Rhinolophus ferrumequinum: one gene and its partner. The protein of the gene in region 1 binds, or shares a complex with, the protein of each later gene. Links are inferred from orthologs where the notes say so. Each region holds a gene or a part of one and is shown on either strand. Other genes may lie near its edges.

The links. Proteins that work in one complex are often made in the same cells at the same time.
Region 2: NUP160 (region 1) and NUP107 share a complex: the UniProt entries of both Homo sapiens proteins name them as parts of the nuclear pore complex. The link is inferred for Rhinolophus ferrumequinum from reciprocal best matches to the Homo sapiens genes NUP160 and NUP107.

Annotation. Positions count from the first base shown.
Region 1 is NC_046294.1:13,505,298-13,513,342, forward strand, and holds the start of NUP160 (nuclear pore complex protein Nup160), read left to right. Parts: upstream 1-4,405; 5' UTR 4,406-4,639; coding exon 4,640-4,739; intron 4,740-5,009; coding exon 5,010-5,121; intron 5,122-8,045. UniProt on the Homo sapiens protein: Functions as a component of the nuclear pore complex (NPC). Involved in poly(A)+ RNA transport.
Region 2 is NC_046293.1:64,886,456-64,894,458, forward strand, and holds the start of NUP107 (nuclear pore complex protein Nup107), read left to right. Parts: upstream 1-4,582; 5' UTR 4,583-4,756; coding exon 4,757-4,764; intron 4,765-6,491; coding exon 6,492-6,583; intron 6,584-7,105; coding exon 7,106-7,192; intron 7,193-7,822; coding exon of another isoform or gene 7,823-7,847; coding exon 7,848-7,963; intron 7,964-8,003. UniProt on the Homo sapiens protein: Plays a role in the nuclear pore complex (NPC) assembly and/or maintenance. Required for the assembly of peripheral proteins into the NPC. May anchor NUP62 to the NPC. Involved in nephrogenesis.

The DNA of each region.
Region 1 (8,045 bases):
TCAAGGCTAGGTGGCAGGCCCTTTGGACTTTCCACACTGAAACCTCACTGGATGCAGGGGCTATAACCATAGGCAAGGTAGCTCTCTTCAGTTAAGAGCAAAAATCAGGGTCCCTCCCACTCCTTTCTGGAGACTCCAGGGGAGAATCGTTCCTGTGCATTTTCCAGCTTCTAGAGGCTGACCATGTTCCTTGCTTATAGCCTCCTTCTTCATCTTAAATGCCAGCAATGTCACATATCTTTGACCTTTCTTCTGTCCTCACATCTTTCTGACCTCAGCAGGGAAAGGTCTCTCCTTTGAGGGACTATGAGTAGTTAGGGCCCACCTGCGTGATCCAGGCTTCTTTCTCCATCTCTACATCCTTAACCTTACATGTACAAAGTCCCTTTTACCATGGAAGTAACATTCACAGGTTCCAGGGATCAGGAGGTAGACATCTTTGTGGGGCCATTATTCTGCCTACCATAATCTGAATTAAATATTTTTGGCAAGAATACTTCATATGTTCTTAGCAGCATTTTCACAGTAGCCAGAAAGAGGAAACAACCCAAATGTCTGGCAACTGATGAATGGATACAGTGTTGTATATCCATACAATAGACTATTGTTCAGCCATAAAATGGAATGAAGTACTGATTCATGCTACACCATAGATGAACCTTGAAAACATTACGCTAAGTGAAAGAAGCTGGACACAAATGGACACATATGTATGATTCCATTTATATGAAATGTCCAGAATAGGCAAACATAAAGTAGATTAATGGTTTCCAGGGGCTGAGGAGGGGGAAATGAGCAGTGGCCACTAATGGGTATGGGATTTCTTTTTGAACTGATAAAAATGTCCCAAAATTAATTGCGGTGATGTTACACAACTATGTGAATAAGCAAAACTCATTAAATTGTACACTTTAAAGAGGCAAATTTTATGGCATGTGAATAATATCTTAACAACGTTGTTTAAAAATGCCTTACAGATGATGCTGTATTCTTCACTTTGTATCACACCAGGAGGCATTTATATCTGGTTGTCCTTAGTAATGAGAAATGCTAAGGTTGAACTCTGGGTTAAGGTGGTGGCAACTGATGGAAACTGTATTTTTAACAAGTGCTTCAGAAAAGTTATCTACCTTACAAGAATACTACTACCTTGTAAGGATGTTATGAGGATGAAATTAAAATGTGACATACTTAGTAAATTTTAAATATGGTAGGTAGAAAAAGTCCCCACCCCAAGGAAGATGTTCACATCCTGATCCCTGGAATCTATAAATGTGTCACCTTACATAGTAAAAGGAACTTTGCAGATGTGATTAAATTTAAGGGTGTAAAGATGGGGAAATTACTTTGTATTATCTGGGTGGAATCTCAGAAGCTTGAAATTCTGACTCAGGAAAAGTTTTAAATGGTAGTTTTGTTAAACAATGAAGTATTTTCATTCAGCAACATTAGAACATTTACCAATATTGATTGTTCCTACAAGGAAATACAACTCAGCTTTCTCCCATTCCGCAGACCTACTCCTCTTCTACCATTCCCACCGAGTTAATGGCACCCAGTTGTCAAGGCAAACAGGAGTCAGCCTGGATGACTAGACCTTCTCTTATTTTCATTCTTCACCAGATCCAACTGATTTTATCTCCTAAATATTCCTTCAAATTTACTCTCATCTTCTCCATGCCACTCAGGACTTCATCAACTTTTGCCTGGACCATTCATTTCTCAAATATTTACTGAATATTTGCCTCTTATGGGCCAGGCATGATTCTTGGAGTGTGGAGTCTAGTAGAGGGGTGGGGGATAAGGATTCAGAAAGCAAGGAGGCAATTTAGGAGGCTATTACAATAATCCAGGTGAGCTGTTGGCAGTTTAGACACAGGGTGATGGATGGCACAGAGAAGGTGAGATGGCACTGATCTAAGGTAAAAGAGAAAGAGGACTCAATGATGACTCCAAGGATTTTGGCTTGAGGCACTGGAAGGATGCCAGTAGGTGAGATGTGGAAATAGTGTTAGGGGAAGAGATCAGGACTGCAGTTTTGGACATATGTGACTTTAATTTTAGACATATTAATGTAGGCAATTGGATATATATATATATATATATATATATCCAAAAAATGTATACACATTTTAAGAAAGGAAAACTGTATTATAATTGTAATACTCAACATGTACCCATAACAAAAGATGAATACAAGTCACGTCTGACTTCTGCAATTACAAGAGGTGCTCAAAGTGGTTACCATCAGCTTAATTTTTATAGTTTTTTTCCTTTCTTAAAAGGAAAAGGTACCCTCTGTATATATGCAGTTGGATATATAAGCTTGGAGTTCAGGCGAAAGATTTGGACTGGAGATATACATTTGGGAACTACATATCCAGCATTTAAAACCAGAAGACTGGGTAAGATCCTCAAGGGAATGTGTATAGACAGGACCAAAAAATGGGCTCTGGGGCACTCCCAACATTAAGAGGTAAGGGAAAAGAGATACAACTAGCAAAGGAGTCTGAAGAAGAGTCAGTAAAATAGGAGGAAATTAAGGGAGTGTGGTGCCCTGGAAGCCATGTGAAGAAAGTGTTTCCAGGAGGAAGGAGCAATCAATTGATCAAATGTTAAAGGTGGTCAATTAAGTTTACAGTATTAGATACAGTAACAAGGATGTCATTGCTGACCTTGACAAAGGCCTAGAGAAGGAAGGTTTAAGAGAGAATAAGAGAAAATTAAATAGAATGACCTTGAATTTTGCAGTCAAGGTGGGGAGGGGCTCCAACCTTGTAGGTAGTAACTTGAGAGCTCAAATGAAGGCTTTTTGTGATGGGAGGAGAAATAACAGAATGTGTGATTGGAGGAACAACGCAATGAAAAGGGGGGAAACTGAAGATGTAGGAGAGACAATTGCTGGAATGATGTCCTCGGGCAAGTGGTCTAAGGAAAAAGTAGAAAGATTGTTCTTCCATAAACTCAGGGACACTTCTATTTATAGTAACAGGAAGGGAAGGCAGAATATGTGGATACAGCGGGCTGGTAGGTAGGGAGAGGTGGTAGTGGGGGAAAACTCTTGATTGCATCATTTTTCTAAGTGCAGAAGCAAGCTGAGAGTGAGGATGGGAGAGGAGGTGTTGCAGGTTAGAGGAGCTGTGAAATATTCATCGAGGACAGTAAGTGGACAAGGGATATACAGTGTTTGTGGGGCAGCAGTATGGGCCCACTCAACATTCTGAGTCATGATGGAGGCAGAGGGAGGTATGTCAGTATGACTGTATTTTCCTGCAGGCCTGTTCAGCTGCAGATTTGGATTTGATCACAGTTGTAGATTTTATCAGAGTATGATGAATTCCCTTGCCCAGAGCTGGGCAAGGGAGTAGTCGTACCTCAGTTTCGAATGTCTCCATTGACAAACATTTCGGTTTACGACCGCTGTAATTTTTTTGATCTATGGTATCATTAGACAGTAAAATTCATGCTGAATTTGCAGTTTTAGGGATTGATTTTAAAGGTCTGGAAAGGATTAATCCATTTTGCATTACTCTCTATGGGGAAACTACACCTCAGTTTTCAAACGTTTCAGAACTTGAAAGGTCCTCCGGAATGGATTACGTTCAAAAACCGAGGTACCACTAATTTAAATAGAATTTAAGCAGAGCAAGAAGGAAACATCAAATGAGTAACAGTGAAATGATGATTGTAGGTGGAATGGAGGGATTGCATTGCTAGAGTTGGTGTTCTAGGAGAGAAGAGAGTGGGCAGAATAGGATGAATGAAACAGAGGACAGATAAGGTTTGCGGTCACTGGTAACACCAAAAAAATAACAGAAGTGCTTAACAAACCGTTAACTATCAAGACAGTAACTTTGCCCCCGCAAAATTAGCATTTTCCTCAATATTGAGCATCTACTTTGCCCTAGATAGGGGTAAAACCACAGTAACCTCCACACATCCAGATCACGGGTGCGAAGAAAAGCAAATTCGTGTATGCCAAGAAATCAGCATTTAGGTAATCTCAGCAGGTTGCAGCATCAATATTTAATTGAACCCATTATGTTTCATCCTACAAAAATACAGGAATACAGTCTCTTGAAAAAATTCCAACGCAAAGCAAAAGGCCCCTCTGCCCTACACTCCCCCTCACCCGATCCCACGTGTCACAGAAGGGTGAAAAAACCGAGACCCGACGGAGATTCACAGACGGACACTCAGATTCACCGAAAGGGGATCGCAAAGTCGGAATCCGGCAGAGGGCGCCATGGCCTCCCGGACATCGTCCTCGGAGGAGGTTCATCCTGCCGCCCGCGCCGTGGTTTTTAAAATGGAACCCAGCCCCGCCCCCCGCCCTGGGGCCGCCGGGAAAAGGGCTCCGCCCCACCCCCACGACCGGAGGCGTCCAGGCCGGCCAAGCGAAGGTTCCCGCAGAGGGAGTCGGCTCCCTCTGCCCCTTTCTCTTCTGTTTTTCTCCCTGCCAACCCTTCTTCTCCAGCCACTCGGAGGAGCCCCGGAAGACACAGTTGAAGCTGCCATTCTTCTCCCCGGCAATCTCCGAGTGTCCTCGCCTCCGCCTGCCCCGCCCCCGGAAGTGACGGCAACCACTCGGTTGTGCTGGTGTCCCGTCGGGCCTCGCGGCGGCGGCGGCGGCGGGAAGATGGCGGCGGCGGGATCCCTGGAACGGAGCTTTATAGAGCTCAGCGGTCCGGAGCGCGAAAGGCCGAGGCGCTTTCGGGAATTTACAGTTTGTGGCGTTGGTACGGAAGCAGCCAAAGAGGGCGCGATCCGATCCTTCCTCTCAGGCTCCTCCCATGAGTCCCTAAATCTCTGATCCCCAGTTTATCCTTTTAAGTCCACATGCCTATAGCCCCGAGATCTGAGCTTCCTTAGTGTCCCATTTCCTCTTTCTCTTCTTCCCCTTCTCTTCGTATGGATTATCAGTCTGTCATCCTCTGCTTTCTCGGCGCCCTCAGTTCCTGTCATCCTCAGAGAACCACGTGTGCAGGCTGACCCCTCTCCTTTTGCAGGGACTTCAAATGCCTTGACCGGAACCGTCAAATACAGTGAGAGCGCTGGAGGCTTCTACTATGTGGAAAGTGGCAAGTTGTTCTCTGTCACCAGAAACAGGTTCATTCACTGGTAAGTGCTGTGTTCGCCAAACCCCGCTGGAAAGTCGAGTTGGTGTCTGAATGTTCGTGGCTGTTTATAAAGGCTGTCCCGCTGTTCTCCGAAGCAGTAATTGACAGGAAGAGAAAGACTGTCTTCTAATTGTATCTGAATCAGGAGATTAAGGAGACCAGAGTTCTAAGAGAGGTTCCCTCCCAGGGCAGCACTAAAAGCAGAGGAAATGTAGCTTAGGGGATAGAGGCCCAAAGATCAGTTTTAAACATCAGTCCATTGTGTTTTTATAGTGTTTCCCCGAAAATAAGACCAGGTCTTAAATTAAGTTTTGCTCCAGAAGACGCATTAGGGCTTATGTTCAGAGGATGTCCTCCTGAAAAATCATGCTAGAGCTTATTGTCCCGTTAGGTCTTATTTTCGGGAAAATACAGTAGTGCTTTACAACTTCATTCTGCAAACGTGTGAGCTTTTACACATCAGGCACTGTGCTAGGTATGCTAGGGATTAAGTGATGAACAAAAACCACCACCATTTTCATCATGCAAGATGTTGTAGCAGTGTTAGCTGTGGACTCACCTTTCGTTGGGCTGTTTAAAGAAGGGAAAAGACATTAATGACACAACATAAGTATAACAATACAAATGTTTCATACCTGCTTCAGAAGAATAGTGTAGAGGCTATGAGAGGCTAAGGGCGGACCACATTTTATTGGTGGAGCTGAGAAGGCCTTTAAGGAGGTCATATTTAACCTGAGATCTGAATGGTTAGCCAGGCAGGGGATTGAGGAAGAGAGCAGTTCGGCAAGTGGGATCAAAATGTGCCAAGTCCATGAGGTGGAAAGAACTTGGCAGGTTTGAGGATCTGACCGAAGGTCTGTGACTTAAGTGCAATGGGCGAAACAAAATAATGTGAGAGATGCTGAGATGGGGAGGGAGGCAGAACTCATTATGAAGGACCCTGAGGTCCTTTTTAAGGATTTTGGATTTTATCCTAAGTACGTTGAACAATTATTGAAGGGTTTTTAATGGTTACTAACATGATCAGAATTGTATTTTTTTAAAAATTGGCTACTTTGTGGAAAGTGGATTTGGGTTAAATATATGTAATACAAAAGAACAATTTGCCTTTATGATGGCCCAAGTAAGAGATACTGGTTGTGAGAATGGCTAGGAAAAGAGAAATGGATGGATTCCACATACATTGAGAAGGTAGATTCACTAGGACTCTGTGATAGATTGAATATGGAGTGGGAGGTGATAAGGGAAAAGGAGGGAGCAAGGATAACTCTTTGGTTTCTAGTGTGACTAACCAGATGTATAGGGCAGAGGGGTGGCCATTTACTGAGATATAGAAGATGGGTTTTGAGAGATTTGAATAATTCTTTTAGACGTACTAAATGTGAAGTATTTGCAGCAGCCCTTTGGCAATATTAAATAAGTGCTGAAATTTAAAGGTCTGCGGCACAGAAGAAAGACCTATGTTAAAGATACACATCTCATTTCCTTCAGAAAGATGTTTGAGTTCTTAATATGTTACAGTCAATGTTTAGAGACTGGGGATGTGGCAGGGAACAAAGCAGACAAAGTCCCTGCTTTCGTGGAGGGAAACAGGCCCTAAACAGTAATAAGGAAAACAAGTAAATGCAGCTTATCAGGTGACGAGTGGAACAGAGACTAGGGAAGCAAGATAAGAGGGAAGGGGAATGCCTGTGGAAGTTAATATTTACATCGGGTAGTCAGGCAAGACCCAGTGATAATGGTGACATTGGAGCAGAGGAGTAAGGATGTTTGAGTGATGAGAATTTCAGGTAGACCCTTCTAAGGAAAAAAAGTGCAAAGAACCCTAAGACAGGAGCTTGTGTGTTGTGTTCAAAGAATGACAAGGGTACACGAGTCTGTAGACGAGTGAACAAAGGGTAGAATAATAAGAAAGGTAGCCAAGGACCAGGTCAGGGCTTTGTCGGTTATTTTAAGGCCGTGACTTTTACTCTTAGTGAGATGGAAAGAAGCCATTTGAGAGTTTTAAGTGAAGGAATGGCATAATCTAAGTTGTGTTTTTAAAGGATTGCTGTGGCTATGGGTTGAGAACAGAGTGTAGTGAGAAAAGGGTGGGAGTAGGGAGACCATTTAAGAAGTTGGTGCCACAATTCAGACGAGATGATGATGGCTTAGACCAGGGTGGCATTGGTAGAAGCAGTGAGAAATGTTCTGGTTGTGGACATGTTTTGAAGGTGGATTTGTTAGAATTTACCATTGGATCAAATATGGGGTATACAGAAAAAGAAGAGTCATGGGCGATCTCCAGATTTCTCTATTGAGAAGTTATAGAGATGCCATTACTGAACTGGAAAAGACTGTGTGTGAAGTAGGTATTTTTGTTTCTGTTTTTCAGGTTTGTTGGGTCCAAGAATTCTATTCTGGACAGGTTTTGATCGAGATCCCTGTTAGATAGCCAAGTGGAAGTGTTGAGGCAGAGGTCAGGAGTTCAGTGGAGACATTGGGCTGAAGATACAGATTTGGGAATTGTTGGCATTGGGTGGCATATAAAGCTGTTATGCTGAATGAAGTCATGTAGAGAATGAGTATAAATCAGGGTTTGGAGGGATTGCACTTGGAGGCAGATAAGTCTTGGTTGTGGGGGCTTCCTGTACGTTGTAATGTGTTGAGCGGCATCCCTGGCGTCTACCCCCTACGTCCCAATAGTGCACACACATGCACGTGTACGCGCACACAGTCGGTTGTGACAAGCAAAAGTCCAGATATTGCTATATGTACTCGGGGAGTGGGGCAGAATGGCCCCCAGTTGAGAACCTGTGTTGATGAGGGAAGAGGCCTGAGCACTGAACCCTGGGGAACTCCAATGTTTAGGCAGAAGAGGAACCAGTAAAGGAGACCGAGAAGAAGTAGCTAGTAAGGTAAGTGTTGAACAAAAAGAGAGTGGTG
Region 2 (8,003 bases), on another chromosome or scaffold:
TCTAGTTGTGGAGGGCGCAGCTCAGCTCCAAGTCCAGTTGCTGTTTTCAATCTTTAGTTGCAGGGGGCGCAGCCCACCAACCCATGCGGGAATCGAACCGGCAACCTTATTGTTAAGAGCTCGCACTCTAACCAACTGCTCCATCTGGCCGCCCCTACATGATTTTTTTATAAGTGAATTAATTTCCTTTCCCCCCAATATATAGCTCCCACTTCCATGCACAGTGCCTCATACATAGTTGAAACTTAATAAATATTTGTGAATGGAGGAGTAAAATATACTTCAAGATTATTTCCACTGAACCTCTTTAAATGGAAAACAAAAGGAGACTTTGCAATCATATTTATATTCATCAATATAAAGTATTAATTATTTCGAGCTCTTCATATAGGCAGGAAAAAATGCTTGTGCTATTATTGCAGCATCACAGAAAAAAAGGATTGAAATTGGATCAATTCGATCTGTTACTAATGCCTCTATCACTATGTCACAAGTTTGATGTTGTCAAATGAATTGATAATTATTATAAATACAAATTAGATCATTTTTGAACACATGTATAATATGCCTAGTACTATTCTAAGGCTTTACACATAGTAACTCATTAAATCCTCATAACAACCTTATGATCTAGTACTATTGTTACACCCAAGAAGAAACTAAGGCACACACTTGCACCCAAGGTCACGTACGTAGTTCGTTAAGTGGTGGAACTAGGATGTGACCTCCGGCAATCAAGCTCTGGAGTCTGAGCTATTGACCACTTTGCTCTATTGTTATTTTTATATTTCGTCCTCATAGCTATCCTAAGAGAATATTCTCATTTACAGAGGTGAGGTTTATAACAGTCAAATAGCTTATAAACTGCAGAACTGAGATTCAAACCTGGCAAGCCTGATTTCCAAGACTGTGCTCTTAACCTCCAGGCAATATTGTTTCCTGAGCCAAGCCATGTTTTAAAACCTGCGTATTGTGGTTCATTCATGGTTCAGCCAAAAACTGATATTTCTGTTCAATTCATGATTCATTGTTATTTACTATACTTTTGGCTTGTGGTTCAATTTAGTTCAAATCTATGACCTGAAGTAAATTACTAATCTTTCTGTAATTCTACTTCTTTAGATAAAAATAATATTAAATTACAATAGCTTGTTTGCAATGTTTTGAGCTCAAAAAACAAAACTGCAACAACAACAAAAAACAACAACAAAAACAACAACAAAAAACACCATCTCATAGCTGAACAAGCTGTTAAACTCTAAGTACTTCCTTTTGTTTTATATAACTGCGGTGTATCCTACAACTGTATTAGAATCCTTCTAATTGTCTTTTGGACATGACAAAAACTGTTTAAGCACCTTCCATAATTTAATTCACTAGACTCATATCTGACTCATTGGAATTCTTAATGAATTCCTTAAGACATTTGTTTGAATTTCAATTGGGCCATGCTATGAAAATAAATTGTCTTAAATAAAACACCTCACAGTGAACTGGACAATAAAAACAAAATCATCCAGTCTCACCAAAGACAACCACTATCAACATTTGGTATGATCTTTGTACAAATATATTTTTAAAAAGACTTGTGTTTTTTTTTTTTTTAGAGCACTTTTAGGTTCACAGTAAAATTGAGAAGGTTTAGAGATGTCCCATATACCCCCTCTCCGCACACATACACAGCCTCTGCCATTATCAACATCTCCCACCAGAGTGGGACATTCGTTATAAGAGATGACTTACATTTACATACCATAATCACTCAAAGTCCATGGTTTACAAAACGCTTCGCTCTTGGTGTTGCACATTCTATGGGTATGAACATATATGGCATGTGTTCACCGTTATAGCATCATACGGAGTATTTTTACTGCCCTATCTGCCTATTCATCCCTTCATCATCCTCACTCCACCCCCTGCTTCAGTATGTCTTACGCATTTTATATTGTTTCTGAGCATACTGATATATATGACAACTTGCTCCCTTCATTTAAAGCAAACACTTCCAAGTTACTAAAACTCTCTCTAAACATCCTTGTAATGACTGCATAGCAGGCAATGAGGTGGGCATTGGTTTATCCCTTTTTTCTTCCAGTCTGTAGGAGTGGAGAATATATGCCAAATGGCCACAGAATGTTGGGAATTATAGTTGAAAATGGGTAGAATATAGAATTTGAGGTAGAGCCATTGCCAGATAGGCAAATCTCCCGAAGGCTGAGTCATTTACATTTACAATGCAACCAAAACAAGTTTGGCTGGGAAGGGAACAGAGAAAAGGCAACAGTTAGAAAGGAGTGCCAGGTGAAAGGATGCTTTCTTTTCAGAGAGGAGAGAGGTCAGGCAGATTTTGAAACTGAGACAAACTGACCCCATATGCCATCTGATGTGATTAAGTAAGTACTCAACAATACCTATGTAGTACGGGGGAGCCAAAAAATGTATACATGTGACTTGTATTCAGCTTTTGATATCAGTATATATTGAGTATTATAATTTTAATCCAGTGTTTTCTTAAAATGTATATACTGTACATTGTTTCGGCACCCTCTGTATTCCTGCACCTGTCCCTCCAAATAGTTTTTTAAAATGCTTACTGGGAGAAAACATCCAAATTGAGGAATATTTTGCAAAAATTGGTTTGAACTCTTGGGGAAAAAAAAAGTGGGGACTATGCTAAACTAAAGTAGAACAAAAAGACATGACAACTAAATATATAATGCTCTACTGGATCCTGTATTGGAGCAGAGCTGTTATAAAGAGCATTATTAAGAGAATTGGGGAAATTTGAATATGTTAATTGTGATATTTTGTCAATGTGAACAGTTCTGAGTGTTTATTTTATTGTGTTAGGTAGGAGAATGTCTTGTCCTTGATTTAGGAGATGCATTCTGAAGTACTTAGGGGTGACGTGTCTAGATGTCTTCCAAATGGTTCAGGCAAAAAACAAAAGAGAGAGAGAAAACACTTATTGGGAGATGTTAGCAATTAGTCAAGAGTATATTAATACCTATTTTACTATTTTTACAGCTTTTCTGTGGGTTTGACATTTTTTCAAAATAAAGGGTCAGGGAGGCGGGGAAAGCAATGATGTTTGATTTCCTCAGCTGTTGGTGGTGAGGGAGAGGAAACAGTGGTTTGAGTATTTGGGGATGGCTGCTTCCTGGCCTTTAGTTCCTGAGCAGCTGTTCTTTGCCAAGCTTTCCTCCAGCTTCTGTGAGCTCCTGATAGGTTTCTAGTAAAATCCCTTTTGCTTAAGTTAACTATAGTGAGTTTCTCTCATTGAAACCGAGAACCCTAAAAATAAAGCTAGAATGTATGCAATATGCACCATACAAGTTTGTGCCACGCATTTTAAAAGAAATCAAATGAATGAATATATTTTGAAATATTTTAGGGTTGTATGGTGTTCATGCCCACTAATTGAGTGTGTCAAAAATGAAGACCAGTGCACTTTTCAACAAGTGTTCCCTTATGGCATATGAACTGAACATTCTGTTAATCCTTTGCCCAAAACTGCTCTTCCGCTTTATTGTGTGCCTTATGGTCAATCACTTCAAGTCCATTACATGAAAAAAAAAAAAAAACACAACACATTGGAATTCAATTGCCAGGAAACATATGGCAAGAACCTGAACCACTGGCTCACTTAGAATAAACTTGCCCTGGCACTGACAAAAATCATTAGGATCACATTTCATTTTCCATAAAAGAACAAGTCCACTTTTATACAAGAAAATTAGGAGATGGGAAGAATGAGAGAGCACCACTGCGGGTCTCGTCAAGTAAGATTATTGAACGAGGAGAAAATTAACACTTCGGTGACTACTATGTGCAGTGTACATTTGACATCTTGATTTTACTCCTCAAAAGAACTCGGTGATAAAGGCGTTATTTCCATTCCACAGATGAGGAATCTGCGGTGGCAGGGAGTTCGAACCTAATGGAGACCAAAGCCACGTGTTTTTAAAAAACGTCATGTTGTCTCAGCAGGAATAAAGTATGACGTTTCCCAGGATTAGAGCAGACTGTAAATGCCTACGGCAAAACATCGACTAATTCCTTCAGGGCCAGGATGTACTACTTTTTGTCTATATGGCACTTTGAAATAGAGGATAATACCATCACCTTTCCTGCTTTTTAAGACAGGTGATCCTGTTTTCCTTACTAGGGAAACATACCGAGTAAAGAATAGGCATATGGAAAACAATTTCAAAACCTGTAGGGGGTTTACAGTACAATTCAGTGAGTACTGTGAGAGAGAGGGACGAACCCCCGAGGTGTAGGGCAGAGTCTAAACGTCTGAAACCCAAATCCAGGCTCTTTGTCACAGGACATGACTTCACATTTTTTTCTAAACTATCAGTATACGTCAAATTTCCCAGTAAATAGTCCCAGGATAACCCGGCGCCTGGACCACGCCCACAAATGCCAGTCAGGCAAAGTGGCGGCCGCGCATCAAGGCTAAACCCGGCCCGGCCCCGCCCCCTGCCCGGTCCCGCCCCCGGCCCCGCCCCGCCCTACGCCACAAGCTGGCACGCCGTCGCGCCTGCGCAGACCGGACATGCGCTTGGAGGAAGTTGCGCCGGCGCTCCTTGGGAAAGTTGTTTCTTCCCCGACGACACTTCTTTTCTCCACGGCAACTGAACGAGGACTGTTTCCGGGTCGAAGGGTTTGCTTCCGGAGAGCGGGAAGGCTGAAACGCGGTGGCTAAACTGGATCCCAATTTACAAGGTTCCCGGTGGAGAAGGCTGTAGCCATGAACAGGTCAGTTCAGGTGGTGACTGCTGAGCTTGGAAACTTGTCCCTCCTGCTTGTTGGCGGAACGAAACAAGTGGAACTCGACTTCCAGAGGAAGCCAGGGAAGGCCCGGGTGCTGACTCGAGGACTTTCCCGGGCTGGGAGATTCTGCAGCTGATGGAAGAAAGGCCGCCAGGTTGGGAGAGGGATACGGATAATGATAATCCCTTGCGTTCCTACGGAGCTCTGTCATTGTTCTGCCATTTCGCGGAACATTTTTCGCTTCTGGGGTGGGCGGGGTAGGAGGTGGCCCGGCATTCGAGATGCTAGAGTGACCTGCTCGAGATCCCAAAGCCAGTCAGTGAGGCAACTGGGAATCTCATCCCAGACTTGCTGATTACAAGTTCCAGCGATCAGATAGTTACTGAGTTGAGTTCTTCCTAGGACCCTGGTACTGCGCTGGCCGCCTGCGACACAGATGCCTTATTCAAGGTTCTTGGCCTCGGGGTAGTCGCTGTGTAGTGGAGGAGACGATCAGGCAGTTTTCTACTGCCCTGTGGGAAAGGAAATGAAACAATTAAGTCTCCCTGTTACGGGAGGTATCAGGAAAACCTCTCAAAGGAGGTAATTTTCTAGTTGGTCTTTGAATAATAATAGCTAACATTGAGTACCTTAAGCACTTTGTATCGTTAGCTAATCTTCGTAACAATCCTGTGAGGATAGGTACTCTTTTCATAGATAACACTGGGGTTAAAAGAGGTTAAGAAGCTTGGTCAAAGTTGGGAAACTATTAATAATAAATAGAACCAAGTTGCCAGCCTGTAGGGAAGCTTTTCAGTGAGTAAGTGTTCACCAGGTGGACCAAGGGGGCAAATGTCCGCCTCTAAAAGAAGCAACGTGTACAGAGATGTAAGGATATGCCAAGTGCATGCTTTGTGTAGCTGAATGGTCAAATGTATGTTTGTATGGTATGGTGATGTTTGTAGCTGAATATAAGCGTGAACCGGTAAGCTGAGGTCAGATTGTACAAACCATGGTAGGAAATTTGGACTTGATTCTGTAGGCCAGAGGTAGCTACCTATCTGAAGGTTTTAAGTGGAGAAGCATATTAGATTTTTCTTTTAAAATACAGGTCTCTTAATTCACACAATTTATTTTATAGCCCTTGGGCTGAGAATGACAGGAGATCTGAAGCATTGTGACTACAAAGTGCTGAGACAGGAGACATCCTTAGTGTATCCTAGAGAGAAATAACTTGAAATATTATTTTCTCCAGTTTACTAGAATTCTTTTTTTACTTAGCCTCCCATCTCACCAGTTAAATAAAGCAATAAATTTCTTCATAGTTTCCATGGTTTGAAGTATTTTGGAAACCACAGAAAATCCTTTTTAAGAGATATAATCCAGTAATTTTAGGGAACTCCTCAATCCAACTGAGGAAAAATTTACCTTCATGAAGCAATTATCTAAAACAGTAATATAGATTCCAAGTGTTGAAATAATTGCAAAGGAGAAAATAACAGTGAGTGCTAGAAAGTCTTAAAGAAGTCTGTGCAGGTAAAATTTAAGCAGGACTTTGAGGGATAAGTAGGATTTGGAGCCAGAGGGCACTGTCAACAAAAAAAGCAAAGACATGGCTACTGGAATGATCTGTACCTTGACTGACTTGGGTCCTTTGCTCCAGTCCTGATGATGGAGTTCTTTGCAAGTGCTACATTCTCGTTTCATTCACGTGGGCTTGATTATGCTTTTAGGAGTGGCTTTGGAGAGATGTTATCCCCTGTGATCCGGGAGGCAGAGGTGACACGGACTGCACGGAAACAGAGTGCTCAAAAAAGAGTTTTAAGTATCCTTTGCATTTTAAGCATCATTATAAAAATTGCAGAGTGTTTGGGATCAGGATTATAGAATTTTCTTTTTATGAGAGACATTAAACACTAGCTATAATAATAAAATGCTGCAGAAATTATTTTTTTGACTCCCCAGATAATGTTATTTGGTAAATACAATGCTGAAATTCAGTGAGATTAGATTTATATTTTCCTGAAAATAAGGGTGCTCGATTTTACTGCTATTATATTGTAGTTAGCTTTTGTGGAGGTTAGATAGCCTTTTTAAATTTGAAATCTGACTAGGAACTCTTAGTGTAATGTGTAGTAATCTTAAGACATATCTGAGAAAGTAAGTGATGTAATTATTTACTCTTTGCATAGGAAAAAATGGTAGCCATAAAATACCTTGTCCTTTAAAAATGTATCACATATTTTGTATAGTGTAAATGTGGGTAATTCTAACTTTAATGGTGTCTTTTTTTTTTTTTTTTTTGGATGTCTTTTCTACATGGAAAACTTTTCTTAACTTCCAATAGTTCGGGCATCCCAAGATGAAATTTTTGCTAATACTACACCAAGAAACCAGGTTCTCCCTCGAACTCCCAGCTCATTTCGACCGCCTTGTAAGATTTTTTTAAAGCATGTAGTAATAATAATAATAATAATAGTAATAATAGCAGCTAACACTTATACACATAATAAATATATTTGGTTGAAACATTAGTAATTAAGAATAAATAATAATGATTGCATTTACTATTTGTTGAACTCTTACCATGTGTAAGGCACTAATTTACATACACAATAACTGGGACATAGGTATTATCTCTATTTTGCCAAAACTGAAAGTGAAACTAAGAAGTTAATTAATGCTGATAACATAACTAAGTATGTAAGTAATAGAACCAAAATTTAAATAATGATCTGCTTACTTCAAAACTCGTGCCCTCTATTCTATACTGCCTCTTCAGTGTGCTATTTTATAAAATTAAAATACGAAGAATCTATTGACTCATTAGTGTCCTTTTTTACTGCTCAGTTATGTTATAATGAAAGCATATCTATTTGTAGTAAAATTTTTCCTGATGGGCTCAGTAGTACCAAAATAAGTTAAATTTTCATATCATGGAAATGTTAATATTTAACATGTTTATTTGATTAGAATCTAAATAATTGACAACTGAAAATTATTTGTTCTTCATATTGTTTGTTTGTTCTGTTTTCATGATCAATGCTCATGCACTCTGGATGAGTTTTTTACTAACCTTTTATTTGTAGTTACTCCACCAAACCGAAGCTTACTCAGGCAGCCAGATATTTCCAGCATTCTTGGAACAGGAGTGAGGTCTCCCCGGTTTACACAGTCTTCACTGTTCTTGGGAAATCTGTCTATGGTATGTAGAAAAATGGGGCTGAAATTTTCTCCCTTTTTGT